2 linked regions of the Anolis sagrei genome follow. The protein of the gene in region 1 purifies or fractionates together with the protein of each later gene. This does not show direct contact. Links are inferred from orthologs where the notes say so. Each region holds a gene or a part of one and is shown in the gene's direction. Other genes may lie near its edges.

Region 1 (7,453 bases):
TTATAGTTAGCTTACAATCAAAGAGCATTCTGAACTCCACCTACGATGGAATTGTGGGTGTAAATATATGTATTTACATTTATGTGTGTGTATAAACGTACGTGTGTGAGTATATGTGTATGTTTCTGTAGACATGCGTATTTATAGATATGTATATGTGCGTATACACAGTGTTCCCTCGCTACTTTGCGGTTCGCTTTTAGCAGACTCGCTCTTTCGCGGGGTTTTGAAAATATTAATAAAAATATTAAATATTTATGTTCAGTGGAGGCCAGGGACCCCGGAAGTGCAGAGGCCTGAGGTGCGGCGGGGAAGGACTGCCTACCTGACCTCCACATACCCTGGAAATGTGGCGGCCTGAGGCGTGGCGGGGAAGGACTGCCTACCTGACCTCCACATACCCTGGAAGTGTGGCGGCCTGAGGAGTGGTGGGGAAGGCCTGCCTCCCTGGCCTCCACAGACCCCGGAAGTGCAGAGGCCTGAGGCGCGGCGGGGAAGGCCTGCCTCCCTGGCCTGCTGCTGCCTGCATAGCTCCGGAGGCTCTGCGGAGGCCAAGGAGGCAGGCAAGTGCCCTTGGGTTGGGCCAGGAGGTGGGTAAGGAAGCACGGGTAAGAAAATAATATATAAAATATATAAAATAATATATAAATATTAAAATTAATATGGTGTCCCTACTTCACGGACTTTCATTTATTGTGAGTGGTCCTGGAACAGAACCCCCATGATAAGTGAGGGAACACTACAGCAGGGGTCCTCAAACTTTTTAAACAGAGGGCCACTTCACAGTCCTCAAACTGTTGGAGGGCCGGATTATAATTTGAAAAAGATATGAATCATTTCCTATGCACACTGCACATATCTTGTTTGTAGTGCAAAAAAACCTGCTGAAAACAATACAATAATTAAAATGAAGAACAATTTTAACAAATATAAACTTATTAGTATTACAATGGGAAGCGTTGGCCTGCTTTTGCCTGATGAGATAGCATTGTTGTTGTTGTTGTTGTTGTGTGCTTTCAAGTAGTTTCAGACTTAGGTTGAACCTGAGAGAGGGCCGGGTAAATGACCTTGGAGGGCCACATTCGGACCCTGGGCCTTAGTTTGAGAACCTCTGCTCTACAGATATGTGTGTATGCAAATATATGTATATATATGTGTGTGTGTGTGTGTATATATATATATATATATATATATATATATGAATGAGTGTGTATAAACATGTGTGTGAGTATATGTGTATGTTTGTGTAGACATGTTTATTTATGTATATATTTGGGTGTGTGTAGAGGTATGTATGTAAATATATATATTTATATATCTCATATATGTGTGGGAGAGTATATGTGTATGTGTAGACATATATGTATTTATAGATATTTATATGTGTGTATGTATAGAGAGATGTGTGTATGTAAATATATGTATTTATATATGTGAGTATAGATGTGTGTGATAAATAGATATGTGTGTACATGTATTTTAGATATATGTATATATTTGTGAATTTATATTCATGTTCATATGTCTATAAATATTTGTAAATGTATATATTTATAGATGTGTGTATGCTTATACATACATAGATGTGTGTATGCTTATACATAGATGTGTGTATATATATTTATACAGGTTTTTGTCTATGTGTGTTAATATATGTGCGAGCAGCAGACATGTGTATATATATATATATATCTGTTTATGCATAAAGATATGTGTGCATATATATATATATATTTGTATACTATGTGTGTATTTATATATGCACTCGTATTTGTGTAGATATGCATGTATAAATTTTATATATGTATCTATGCATATAGATATGTGTGTAGATATGTATATATTTGTATCCTATATGTGTGTATGTATATATGTGTGTATACATGTGTGTATATATATATATATATATTTGCATATATGTGTGTATATTTGTATATATTTGTGTGTCTATTTTTATATGTATGTGTATATATATATTGTGTATGCATACACACATATACATACCCTTTAATAGTTAATAGTAGCTATGGTGATTATTTAAAGGCTAAGTAAATGCATTTATTTTCAAGAATAAATGTTATACTTCTGATTTAATCTGGATTTCAGAGTATATCTTCAGTTGCTATTGTTCAAATTGTCGCCTCTGCTTAGTAATGCACAGCATGCTTTGTTGATCACATAATTGTAAACCTCTCTCAAAAGTTTACGTTTTAATTTCAAGCTACCTCTCTACCATTTGAATCTTTAAATCCTTTTAAGGATATATGTATCCTAGGGAGAGGGGGGAAATGCAATGCAACTCCTCTCTTCCCCCTGTATATGTTGACAGGTTCAATTGGGCTTATTGGTGGTTTGTATTAATTGAGTTAAAACCCATGGATTGAGGGGCCTATTGATATTTTAGCATTTGTTAAATTACTGTTTTTGGAGATGATTAACTCTTTTAAAAAGTTACTCCCCAGTACAGGTTGACAGGTTGTGATTTGGTTTATTGACTCGCTACGGCTTTCATCCTGTTGGTAGTCTCAACTAGAGCAGACCCATTATCATCATCATCATCATCATTATTATTATATTGATTTTTTTAATTTATTTATTTATATCCTGCTTTATCTCCCCCAAAGGGGACTCAAAACAGCCCATTCATTCAATTGTTAAATTTTGAGTCAACACAGAGATACATTTAACGGATTCATTGTGTCTACTTAGTTTGGACTAAAAGAGGATTTAGGCCTGCATATGAATGTTTGATCATTTTTGTGTTAATACATCTGTTCCTAAGATAAGCATATTTTATTGTTCCTTAATAGATTTGCTCAGGAATAAGACAATAATCCTAAAAACATTGATAGAGGAATAATATGGAGCTACAGGAACTTGTTTCTGAGTAAACGCATATGGGGTTATGTTTCAATTTTTTTTTAATTTTAGTTCATACAGCCATTCAATTAACAAATTTTTGCCATACAAGTCTTATCTACAGTTTTACATTTGGTGATGTTTTCTTGTGCTGAGCTTGTGTAAAATTGTATCCTCAATGGATTAAATTCAAATGTGTGCAAGACTGAACATTTTTGCTAAACAGGAACAAGTTCTTTCTCCATTTTTGTTTCTCATATATGTTGACATTGGGGTCTTCCCCTTTGTGTTATTAAGGAAAAAAACAAGGAGACTAGAATGAGAGTTCCTGCCATAGATGTATTCAACCCCAAAATAACTATTTATGTAAGAAAGGGGTGCTAACAACTTTTTTTAAATCTCCGGGGGCAACTACATTGTAGAATTAATGCAGTTTTGCACCCCTTTAACTGCCATATCTCAATGTTGTTGCCTCGTGGTTTAATGCTAAGGACCCATGGAAGTTGAAGTTTGGTGAGGCACTTGCCCATTTTGTCAGAGAAAGTTAAAGTCCTTGTAAAACTAAAGCTCCTAGGTTTCCATAGGATTGAGTTATGGCAGTTAAGTGGTGTCAAACTGCATTATATAGTGTACATGTCCCCTCAGTCTCAAAGGTCCTGTCAATTTCCAGCATTAAAAGATAGAAACGTTTGAGTGGATGACTAGAGTAGGTTTATAAAGAATTCACAGGCAGTATGGTTGAAGCAGGAGTTTTCCCAGTTAGGATCCAGTTAAGGTGTTTTTCCAGCTTGCTCAGTTACCTGATTTCTAGCGCTTTCAGACACCTCATTGTCCCACTTCTGGAAATGCTGCTTGTTTGCTTGCTTTAACAAGGCAAGCTTTATATTTCAAGGGCTTCTAGTTATCATTTTACCAGGAACTCCTTGCAAACTATTTAGACTTAGTTTTTTTTTCTCATTCTGTGTTAATAGCTGAGACATAATTTCTAAGACAATTGGATGGAATGTAATTATGTCAGGGATATTTTCAATCCTGTCACAAATCATGACAGCTGGAGTACATGATGTACCCCTATGTGTTGTTTTTTGTCATTTGATTACATAAATTAGCATATTTCTGCTATGATGATAAAAGGTGAAATACTAAGCAGGCCTTGTAAAGTTTTACCAGCTTTGGTTGCTAGCTTGTGGTGTACAGAAGGTTGAACAGCAAATCTTCTTGCTCAATACAGATTGGCTTCTCATAGTAGGCAATTGAGTAAAGTTCAAAACATGAATATAAAATGTGAATAAGGTGTTAATTTTGAAACTAGGGTACTTATGTCAAAGCATGTGAAAATTCATCTACTGTTGCTTGGTATTTAAGATATGAGAATAGTTATTTTTAAATTGCTTCCAAACTTGTAACTAAATGTTTTAATTTATTTTCAGTGACAGGATGATGAGGAATTATCTGAACTGTCTTTGAGCTGAGCTATTGTAATGTGCCCTATATACTCAAAATTTTACTCAAAAAATCAACCCCAAAATCTGGGTCAATTTATCAACAGGTAAATGTGTATATTGTAGCAAAATCCATAATTCTGGCCACCAAATCTGTCCTCAAAATGGGGTTGACTTATACTGAATTTGGTAGTTGTGCAGTGAAGGTGACCCACTACTGGCTACTCTGTATGGTTCAGAATTACCCTCTTTCTTGTCTGCATCCTACCCCTATCTTTTTTCTCTCCCTTTCTTTAATTAGTAGCATGCCGGGGAGCATGCTGCTCTTGTAGAGATTGCCCTGTTACAACGCCTTGGTGTCATTTGCTAAAATCCAGCTTGTTCCATTTGCAAACCTGCCACTGTTTGTAATCAATCAGCCATAAACCAAGCTCTGGACATGGCACACAACAGCAAATGATGACTTGTTGTATCCAGATCCACAGCCAGGACTTGACCGTAGCTGTTTCCATATTTCCCATCACATAAACAGGAGTTGACAGTTGTTATGAGACAAACAAATGAGACCTGGAAAAGACAAGCCATGGTTGTGTTGTCTGTTTGGGGTTATGGCTTTAGTAGCAAATTAGTTAACGTAAGCAGTGGTTTATATGATGGGTTATCATCATATTTGGTATTGTTGGAACTTGGAGAAATAGCAACACTTGATTAACGTCTAAGTGTAGAGCAAAGCAATTCCAGGATAGGGTAAGAGGCCAAAATCAATCTTAATTCCAGATAGAGTTAGCCCATTGAAATAGCTAGCCCTTGTTAGTCAACCACTCAAATACATCCCACTGATTTCAGTGGGTCTAACATTAGATTTAGCCTATGGTATTTAATCTTTGTTTCCATGACCAATAGCTGATTTTTTTTTCAGTGTAATATTTTATTTTTGGGTCTTAGTTTCTGTGTAGGCATTTGCCTCAAGTAGATTGATGAAAAAAGATATAAGGTGAATCTGCTTCAGGCTAGTATGTCATGTAGTCTGTGGGAAACCCTGGGAAGAAATCTTAATATCAGCTGGCATATTTTACGATCCCTCTGTAATCAAGAATGGCTTCCAGTGGTTACAACCTGTGAAATATGACTTTCTTCTTGATCCATTTGTCAACTGTAACTTTTCCTTATGTTGCATGCTAAGTTTATTTCATTTATTTCACCAGAACAAAGCAAGTTTTCACAAACATTGAACGTAACTCCTTCCTCAAGCCCCCCAGCCAGTGGTGGAATGGATCCTTCCCATGCTTGCAGCATTCTCCAGCAGCTCAAAACTATGTATGATGAAGGGCAGCTAATAGATATTGTTGTGCAAGTGGATCATGGGAAAACCTTTTCCTGTCATCGGAACGTTCTTGCTGCAATCAGTCCTTATTTCAGGTATATTGCAATCCATAACTAGACCATTACTTTGATAAAATGCATTTTATAATAGTTGGTATTATAGGTTCCACACATCAGCCACAGATTCTGAAGTAAACAGGATAATATTTCCACTTTATATTCAAAGTTGGACAGCCATAGTTACCATCTTTATCGGTTTGCTTCATTGATCGCAGTATGAGACATCAGGTTCTCATACTGTGTCATGTTGTTGCTTAGGATTTGTAGCAGTGCAAATCCTAAGCAACAACAAATCCCATTTCTTTTTCCCTGGAAGAATTGGTTATACTGCACTTACATTTGCTGTTTGTAGTAAGATATGGAGAAGAGTCCTTTCTTGTTCTAAGCTTTTGAGATCCTGGGGAGTATGTAGATGGTTAAGTCTGCTCTTTATCACGATCTCGTCCTGTTATTTGTGCTGATTAATGTGCTGTTTCAAACATTGGCTTACCAGGGACAGTCTGTATACAGTTTAATTACAATTGCTAGCTCTTTCTTCAAGGTGTTTTTTTTCCAGAGTATTAGTTCCTTTTTCAACAATTTATTCTTACTTACTCCAAAGATTAAAAAAATAGGCTTATTTTCAGTGGGAAGAAAATTGCAAAAAGGAAGGTTCTTTCAAGTATTGTGAGTTACTCTCATTGCATCAGAGCTCATCCAACTGGTCATTGTAAAAACCTGGGCAGATATGCTGTGAATTAATTCTACTCTCATGTACCATTTTGTATATCACTCATTGAGCTACACCTGCTTGCTAGTATAGATATGCTCTTATGTGTTTGATTTTGGCATATATTCAGCTTGATGAACTTTCTTAGCTATCTGATGTTAGGTTGCCACATTGTGCAGGTAAACATAGCCACAAACTAATTAGCGTGCCATGTAGCCATGTAGGCAGCTCATCATAAGCAGGCAATTTCTCTCAGGTGGTTAGCAAACTCACCTTACATGTTGCAATCTATATCCTAAGTAGTAGGTAATATATGTGCAAATTAGCGTGACAGTCATCTGCTATTGATGATTATAGTAAAAGCTCATTGCGGGATGGGTGAACAAAATTACAATTACTTTAAATTGTCTGAATAACATTGACTGCAATGGCAGCACATTAATTCCCTCCACATTTGTGGATTTGAATATACATGGCTTTGGTTATAAACGCTCTCTCTAGGAATCTCTGGTCTCCCAATATGACTCTGTAGTCACTTTCCTTCAGTCATGTTGGAGGATCTAGAGATTTCTAGGGAGAGCACCTCTCTAGTAATCTCTGGTTTCTCCAGTGCATTGCTATTGTCAGCTTCCAGAGGAAATTGACCCTAGAATTGTGCTGGAAGCCCTAGACATTTGTAGAGAGGTGTTCACTCAGGTAAAAGGTAATGGAATTTCTTTATTTGCCGTTTTTCACTTTTGTGTGGATCTTATTTCCCTAACCCCAACAGATGTACAGGGCTGACTGTAAAAGGATTTCAAAAATGAGCCTTGTTTCAGCACAACCTACTGATAAAACGTTTAGGCTTAATGTTGACTTATTAACAAAACTTTATAAGTGACTGCGTACATCTTCTTTTTGTAGATCAATGTTCACTAGTGGCCTTACTGAGAGTACCCAGAAGGAAGTTCGGATAGTTGGTGTTGAAGCAGAGTCCATGCATTTAGTACTGAACTATGCATATACCTCCAGAGTAACACTGACAGAGGCCAATGTCCAAGCTTTGTTCACTGCAGCTAGT
Region 2 (7,419 bases), about 92 Mb from region 1:
TTGAGACTCAGTGAGATATTCATTGAAAAACTAAAAGCTTTTCCCATGTTTTTATGATAGAACCAATTAGGAAATGACATTTATAACTGAGGAGCAAAAATCATGTTACATAGTGTAATAATTTTGAAAATCAACAAGTAGTAGTGTGAAAAATGGGCAGTGGAGAGCATGTGTTCAACTTCCCTTGTATACATCATCTCGACCTTCAGGCAGGGATTCAGTGACTGTCCCAGACACATAGCTTTTCTTTTAAGTCCAAGGCATATGAAAAAAGCACAAGGCAGAGTGGACCAAAGCTTTAGTTTTCTGCTGCATAGTGTCGTCTTCAAATGTGCATCTGCAGCAACAGCAAAATAGATCCCCGCTTTTTCTGGTCTCTGTGTGGTCGTAAGCTCTGCAGTATTATGTTAGGGGCAGTGCTGAAGGAAGTGGCGTGAGTCAGCAACCGCTCCGTTTCCTGCATTGCATCAAGAGGTGTCCAGAGCAAGTACTGAGGCTGTTGAGACTGTGACCTGGACTGATTCCAGGCAGAGTTGAGTGAGGTAGCAGGACATGTACACATCAGACTGCAACAAGGCTGAGCTGAAAGAGCCATACCGGTAGTTCCTTTTATTCCCTGCCATATTTCCATAGGATATTTAAACGTGGCCTATTGGGATGCACCTCAGAAAGGTATCTCTGCTTTACCTTTGTGACAGTAATCCAGAGCTTTCCTTTTACTTAATGGTGTCACATGACTTCAGCAGTTTTTCTGCCACTGCGACCAAGATAGCTGTAAATTCTATATTCACTTTGTAGTATAATTAATTGTTTTTATTAAAACATGCTTAAAGTGAGTGTGATTTTTTAAAGCAGTGACATAGGGCCCCAATCTGGAATGGACTCCTGAACTGGATTGGGGCTCTGGATCAATGCCACATTAAAGATCCATTCCTCCAGCTGCTCTCTGTCTGTGCTGTATTTACCACTGTTGGGGGACGATTTTCACCAGGGAGTTGTGCCACATTCAAGGGCCTGCACAGGGTTTATTTCCTTCCAAATAAGAGCACAGGTGGAGGATAACATATTAGAGTCTCTCATCAGTCCCTTTGGGATATGGAAAGGCACTTCAGAGAGGAAATGAGCCTGTGTTTTTTTTCCTGACACTGTAGGAGGACATCTCATACGTGTCTATTTAATTAAAAAGTATATGTGGTAGTTCCCATCCTTCTATTTTGTCACCATCCCCACCACTATCAAAGCCCATTTGCTAGTAGAATATTTTGAATGATGCATGGTCTTCCTCAAGATCCCAAATCTAGGTGTATTTTTACTTGGGCAAGAGGTGCAGCTACATCTGGGATGCAGATGAGGAATTGGTATTTTATGTAGGCCCATGCTTTGTCTTTTTCTACTGAATAGTCCTTAACAGTGGCCTTTTAAAAAGCCATACAATTTTAAATGTGAACCCATCTTTTTACAATGTTGTTTGGGGGTTGTTATTCTATTGTGAGATTACCCATCAAGAATCAATGTATTGAACTAAACTTTATCCTTGCTCAAAACTGAGCTAGGAGCTTCTATGTTGGAAATTGAAAACTTACAGGGGAAGTTCCTAATGACTTAGTTACAAAGAAGAAGAAGAAGTCATTCTGTACTGCTTCTGCAGAATTGGATTAATGTATATATGTGACTAAGCATCAAGCTATTTTTTGTTTAAAATGTACCCTAAAAACCTGTGTTATCTTATCAATGGGCTTCTGTAGGAGTTGAATTAGGGTGCTTCCAGACATTACAAAAATACGGGTTTAAATGGGAATTAAAAAATGCCAGAACCTGACTGCAGATTCCCACACAGACCTGTTAGTCCTGGTACTGTTTCCCCTGCCTTCTTCACGGCCATCCTCTGTATCAGAACAAGATGGAGAGGGACAGAAGGGTTTTTTAAAAAAATTACTCCATTATGCGCTGGACCGTACATGCAATTATGTGCCCGTGCAAATATCTTAATATAAATATAAGCAGATTTGTATGTGTGTATATGAGGTTTATCACATAACAAAACCCCTTCTGTCAGATTTCTCCCTTCCTCCAATTGTTTTTTCAAGCTCTGTTTAACATTTCAAAGTTTGAAATAAAGAGTTTTAGAGGGTTCTAATTGCTCTCAGTTCATGCTTCCTTTATAGCAGCTGTGTATCCATTTCACAGCTCAATGCACTGATCAGCTGTTTCGGGCTTTTTAAAAGTGGACATGTGAAACAGGGAAGACAGAAAGAAAGTACGTGTTTTTCGCAAGTGCAGGGATATACAGTAATGCGAATATCTGCATTTGCCGGCCAGTATTGGTATAAAAGAGGGCCTTTCTAACCTGTATTTTTAGTCTGTTGCAATGAATCGGTGCTGATTTACATGTAGTCTCATGTAGCCACCCCCTTTTAACCCAGTAAATGCCGTGTTTAAGGTGCTGTGTAGAAGGGCCCTTAGTGGCAGTCTGTTAAGACAAGGCAACAGCCTCAAAGATTGTTAGGCATGGTCAGCTACAGAAGTAAGTGACCAAAAAGGTATCTTGTTTTGCAATACCTTTGTTCTCAGAATGTTTTTCATCTTTTACTAAGTGCCTTTATCTGAATGCTCAAGCAAGTTACAAAGTACTGGTAGCCATTTCATCTGCATAAATTACAATATGACACATCAAGGGGGTTGCATTTCTAAATTTACCATTTAAATAGGAAACCGTGGATTGAACCCTATTAAAATTAATGATTGCCAATGGAACTTACCATGGAGACACCCTAGAGCAATGGTTCTCAACCTGTGGGTCCCCAGGTGTGTTGGCCTACAACTTCCAGAGAACATAGCCAGTTCCCCAGCTGTTAGGATTTCTGGGAGTTGAAGGCAAAAACATCTGGGGATCCACAGGTTGAGAACCACTGCCCTAGAGGATCTAGAAAATTCCTAGAGAGGGCATATTTTGTTGGCGGCAGACAAAACCCCAAGAAGTGGTCCTGCAGATATATGTCGTTTTGTAGTTCCATTACTTGCAGGATATTAAATATCAGCCTTTGCTTATACTGTAACTATGCTCCTGTTCTTACTTTATCTGGCCAGTATTGTAAGGATCTCACTTTCACATATTGTTGGCATTTTTCTTACCATCATCATCAGCACCATCACCACAACTTTTGTTTCTACCCCACACTTTCCTCAAAACCAGCACTCAAGGCAGCTTACAAATGAAAACAAATACAGCATAGCTACAATCTTAAAAAACAACAACAATGTGAAACAAAACTATTAACCACACTAAAAACAATTGAAAAGATGCAATTAAAATGTTAAAAGCAATGCAACAGCAGTACGGTTCAAACAGTACAATGCCCTCTTAAAAGCCCTTCTTTTTGAAACCTTTAATTTTCAAACACCTGCCAGAATAGAAGAGGATTTACCTGCCAACAAAAGGACTGCCAGGAGGGGCCCATTTTAGGAAGGTGAGGGGGGGGGGGGTCAAAAGAAGAGGCTCACTTCAGGATCTCAGGACCTGGACAGGCTCATACGGAAGATACAGTCTGCCAGCTGGCCTGAGTCTAAGGCACCCATCTTCTAGTACTCCTTTTCTCCTGTCTTATAACTAGTAAAGAGAAAAATACATTTCTTCTTCTAACACATTATTCTTTGCTCATTCTCTCTGAATCCAATCCAGTAGAGTACACATCGGCTCACATATCACACACACACCATTTCAGCACTTCTTAACTATCTTGCACTCCTGATCTTCTTCTGGCAAAAAGGTTCTTTGCTTCTCCGGAAATCACTCACACATATACTTGTTTAATACCCCAAATTTTTCAGAACAAAGTTTTTTTTGTTTGCTTGCATGTTTAGTAGTTTTGGCAATAGCCCGCCCCTCTTGTACAGTCTAATGCAATTAAATCTGACACACGTGTTCTGTAAAACCTAGGTTCTGCAATGTAAGTGTTATAAATGGCAGCTTCATCATCATGTCCCAACTATCTGTTACTCTTTTGTGTTACTTCCAGCTGAATGAAGTTCTGGTGGACTCAACAGTTGTACAGTATATTATTATGTTTCGATTGGTCCAAATAAAAGTATTTCCCTTCTGTAATGTTTAGATTTGGTTTCCCCTTTCAAATTCACTCTGGAGGTTGAAGGGATGGCGTTTGGAAAGTCAGCAGGGGGCACATAGGCCCCGTGGTTGCTCCCTTCAGTTAGCCTGGGTTCCGGTATTGCCAGCAAATGCAGGAACTCTGTAAGGAAGTGGTTTGTTTGCACACAGGCCAAAAGAACGGTTTGAATCTACAGGCAGGAAATGAGGGTGTAGCCGGCACGCAGTTGGGAGCAGAAGGGACTGGCGATCGCTGCTGAGCCTCTCCACGGGCCAGGATGTCTTTCTCGGAGCCTGATACAAATTCTGAGCATGAGTTGGAGGTACTGCCTTTTGGAAGGGATTCATAGCAGAGGGCTGTGCTATTAACTGCCCCTCCCTCCCTCTTGAACAGTTGGTGGGGGGGGGGGCAATGTGCAGAAAACAATCTTATGATACATCATAAATCAATACGGCTGTAAAGTGGGCCTGAATCCTAGTCTAAATGGATAATTATATTTGGAGGAATATGTGTGAAATCTGGATGCTTGCATTTAATTCCATTTGTGGTTTTAGAATTGGGTTGCCTTATCAACATGTTGCAACTTACCCTTATGTGCAGTTGTCTGTATACATAGGAGATGCCTGTTCACAATCCCCTGGGCATTGTAGAGAGCAATCAGGAAAAAAAACTACAAGGCATATGCAACAGTAAACAAAGGTAGGCAGCTGTTTTTCCCTACAAGGCATAAGCATGGTAATGATAATGGTAATGGACAGTTTGTTGGACTACACACACACATATAAACACACACGTTTTTCAGTTCCAGCATGGAAAAATGAAGATTGTTGTTGTTGTTGTTACATTGATGGTCTTATTATTTGTTGCTTTTGTGTGCCTTCAAGTTGTTTCTGACATATGGTGACACTAAGGCAAACCTATCAGGGCATTTTCTTGGTGAGATTTGTTCAGCAGAGAGGGAGATGCCATTGCCTTCTCCTTAGGCCAGTGGTTCTCAACTTGTGGGTCTCCAGATGTTTTGGCCTTCAACTCCCAGAAATCCTAACAGCTGATAAACTGGCTAGGATTTCTGGGAGTTGTAGGCCAAAATACCTGGGGACCCACAGGTTGAGAACCACTGCCTTAGGCAGAGAAAGTGTGACTTGGTCATCCAGTAATATTGGACTAGAACCATCAGTCCAATATGCAGACTTCAACCATATTGACTGTCCTGGATTAATTAGACTTTGAAGGCTTACATTTTTTTATTGGTATGTGCTTACATGTATGTCTATTTTAATTGTTGCAAGCTCCCTAAGTTCCAGTAGTGGGATGGGTGAGAAACAAGATATAAATAAACTAACATAATTAATATTTCTCCATTTGCTACTCTCCCCTTTAATTATGTGCCATCCTCCCCTTTAATTAATAGAGTCCACCAAGTGGCATGATGCTGGCAAGACATTCAGCAGAAGCATGGGTAACCACACAGCCCATGGAAGAGGCCTCTGCAGTGGTTGCATGTTGCCCATACAGTATGTAATGCACAAGAAGGAGCACTTCTGGAACATATGTGGGCAACATGCTGTCTGGATCTGCAAAAACAGTGCCTCTCTGTAAATGCTGGAAGCATCAGCAGTGTGAACAGTAGATGATGTGTCTGTGGAGGAAGGGATGTCATGTCATATGAGTTGGGGAAAGGAGACACTGCGTTACTGACTATGAGGCATTTGAGACCCCAAACAAGAGAGCACCCTAGGGCACAGGCCTGTCATCTTGCTTAAGTTACGCCTGTGAAGCGTATGGTGGTATATATGCCGCAGTCATAATTTTCAAAGGACTCTTTTGAAATCCTTAATTTTGTTTGTCCTTGCAGGAACTCTGTTCGTAGTTGCTATTAATACACACTTTACAACTGAAGCCCCTGCATTGGGTTCAGCTTGGGACAAAGACCTACTCAAGTCTCAACAAGGATCTGATAGGTTTAGGCTGTGGCCTTCGTTATATATATTGAAAGCACACTGGGCTGTAAATGAAATATAGCACCGCCTCACTATTATTGCCCAAAGATCTTGGCCACATTCAGACATAGCATCACATCCACTGTGGCAGGAAACAATTTCAGCAAATCTCAGGCTCACATATCCTGGTCTTTTTCTGATATGGTTGTGAGTAGGAGAACCAAAGCTCTTACACCTGGTTTAAATCAACTACATCACAAACTGTGCTTAATGCTAACTACGGTATAAGTTGACTTCTTTAAACAGCGATAGTTCATTCCCACATTCCTGGTATATCAACACATTTCTGGATTAATGTCTTTCTCTGCCCACTCCATCTTTTCCAAAAGGCATATCCATGCAATGGCTGGCAGTCTAAAAGCATTAAATAGTATTCAGCATTTGTATAGTGCCTTATAGTGTTGACATTGTTTTTAAAATATTATGAATTATTCTTATAATGTCTGTACAAGATAGGTAAATATTATTTTATCGAAACTCACATTGGTGGCTGAGATAATAATGGTTTGTCTAAGTCTACCAAGTGGGCCAGGCTGACTGATTTTAAATAAACATAATTCATATATTTTATGTAAATTGTCAAAGGGGGGAACTGTTTAAAACAGTGTCATTAAAACACTAATTTTAAACACTTCACCGTTTTGCAATGAATATAGGAAGTACTCAGCAAAAATGTTTGATCTCAAGTGTGTGGCTCAGCTCTTGGTGAATTAGACATGTGCTCAGCCATCCTTCCTGTGCAGAAGATGTGGAAGTGGGGATGGGTGTGGGAGGAATTATCCAGTTCCCTAAGGGTGGCAGGGGGAGGGAGAGAGGTTGTGGGATGCTTGGTAACTTTGTGGCCTAGGCACAAAGAGAACTCCCCATTTGTCCAAAATGTTGGCGCCATGCTTGGTTTGGGGTAAGAAAGAAGGATTCAGAAACAGATACAACATCATATTTCAGATGAACAGATCTTTTTGCCAGCTTATTCCACTGACCTTCCTTCACATCCAAACACAGAAATCAGAAACTATATTGCATGGATTATCCTGATTTTGGTGTTAAATAATATATCTTTGCATCTGAGATTTTAGTCAGATTCTGTCATAACTGCTATTCTAAGTTCTAGTCTTCGTGTGATTGCTTGACTACAGTTTCCATTCCAATTAATGATTGAGCCAAGGTATTAAAAATACTTAACACTTTCAGTGTTTTCATCACCCACTTCAAAGTTATTTAAATAATCTTTGGCCATTCTTTTAATGTTTTCTCTTAATATTCAGCTGCAAATCTGCTTTTGCACTTTCATCCTTAACTTTCATCATTAGTCATCC

The links.
Region 2: the proteins of KBTBD8 (region 1) and PKN1 purify together in Homo sapiens (affinity purification with western blotting; 3 studies listed by BioGRID and IntAct, with this or other methods). This does not show direct contact. The link is inferred for Anolis sagrei from reciprocal best matches to the Homo sapiens genes KBTBD8 and PKN1.

Annotation. Positions count from the first base shown.
Region 1 is NC_090022.1:36,115,743-36,123,195, forward strand, and holds the start of KBTBD8 (kelch repeat and BTB domain-containing protein 8), read left to right. Parts: upstream 1-4,414; 5' UTR 4,415-5,469; coding exon 5,470-5,720; intron 5,721-7,296; coding exon 7,297-7,453. UniProt on the Homo sapiens protein: Substrate-specific adapter of a BCR (BTB-CUL3-RBX1) E3 ubiquitin ligase complex that acts as a regulator of neural crest specification.
Region 2 is NC_090022.1:128,247,734-128,255,152, forward strand, and holds the start of PKN1 (serine/threonine-protein kinase N1), read left to right. Parts: upstream 1-4,320; 5' UTR 4,321-4,380; coding exon 4,381-4,425; intron 4,426-7,419. UniProt on the Homo sapiens protein: PKC-related serine/threonine-protein kinase involved in various processes such as regulation of the intermediate filaments of the actin cytoskeleton, cell migration, tumor cell invasion and transcription regulation.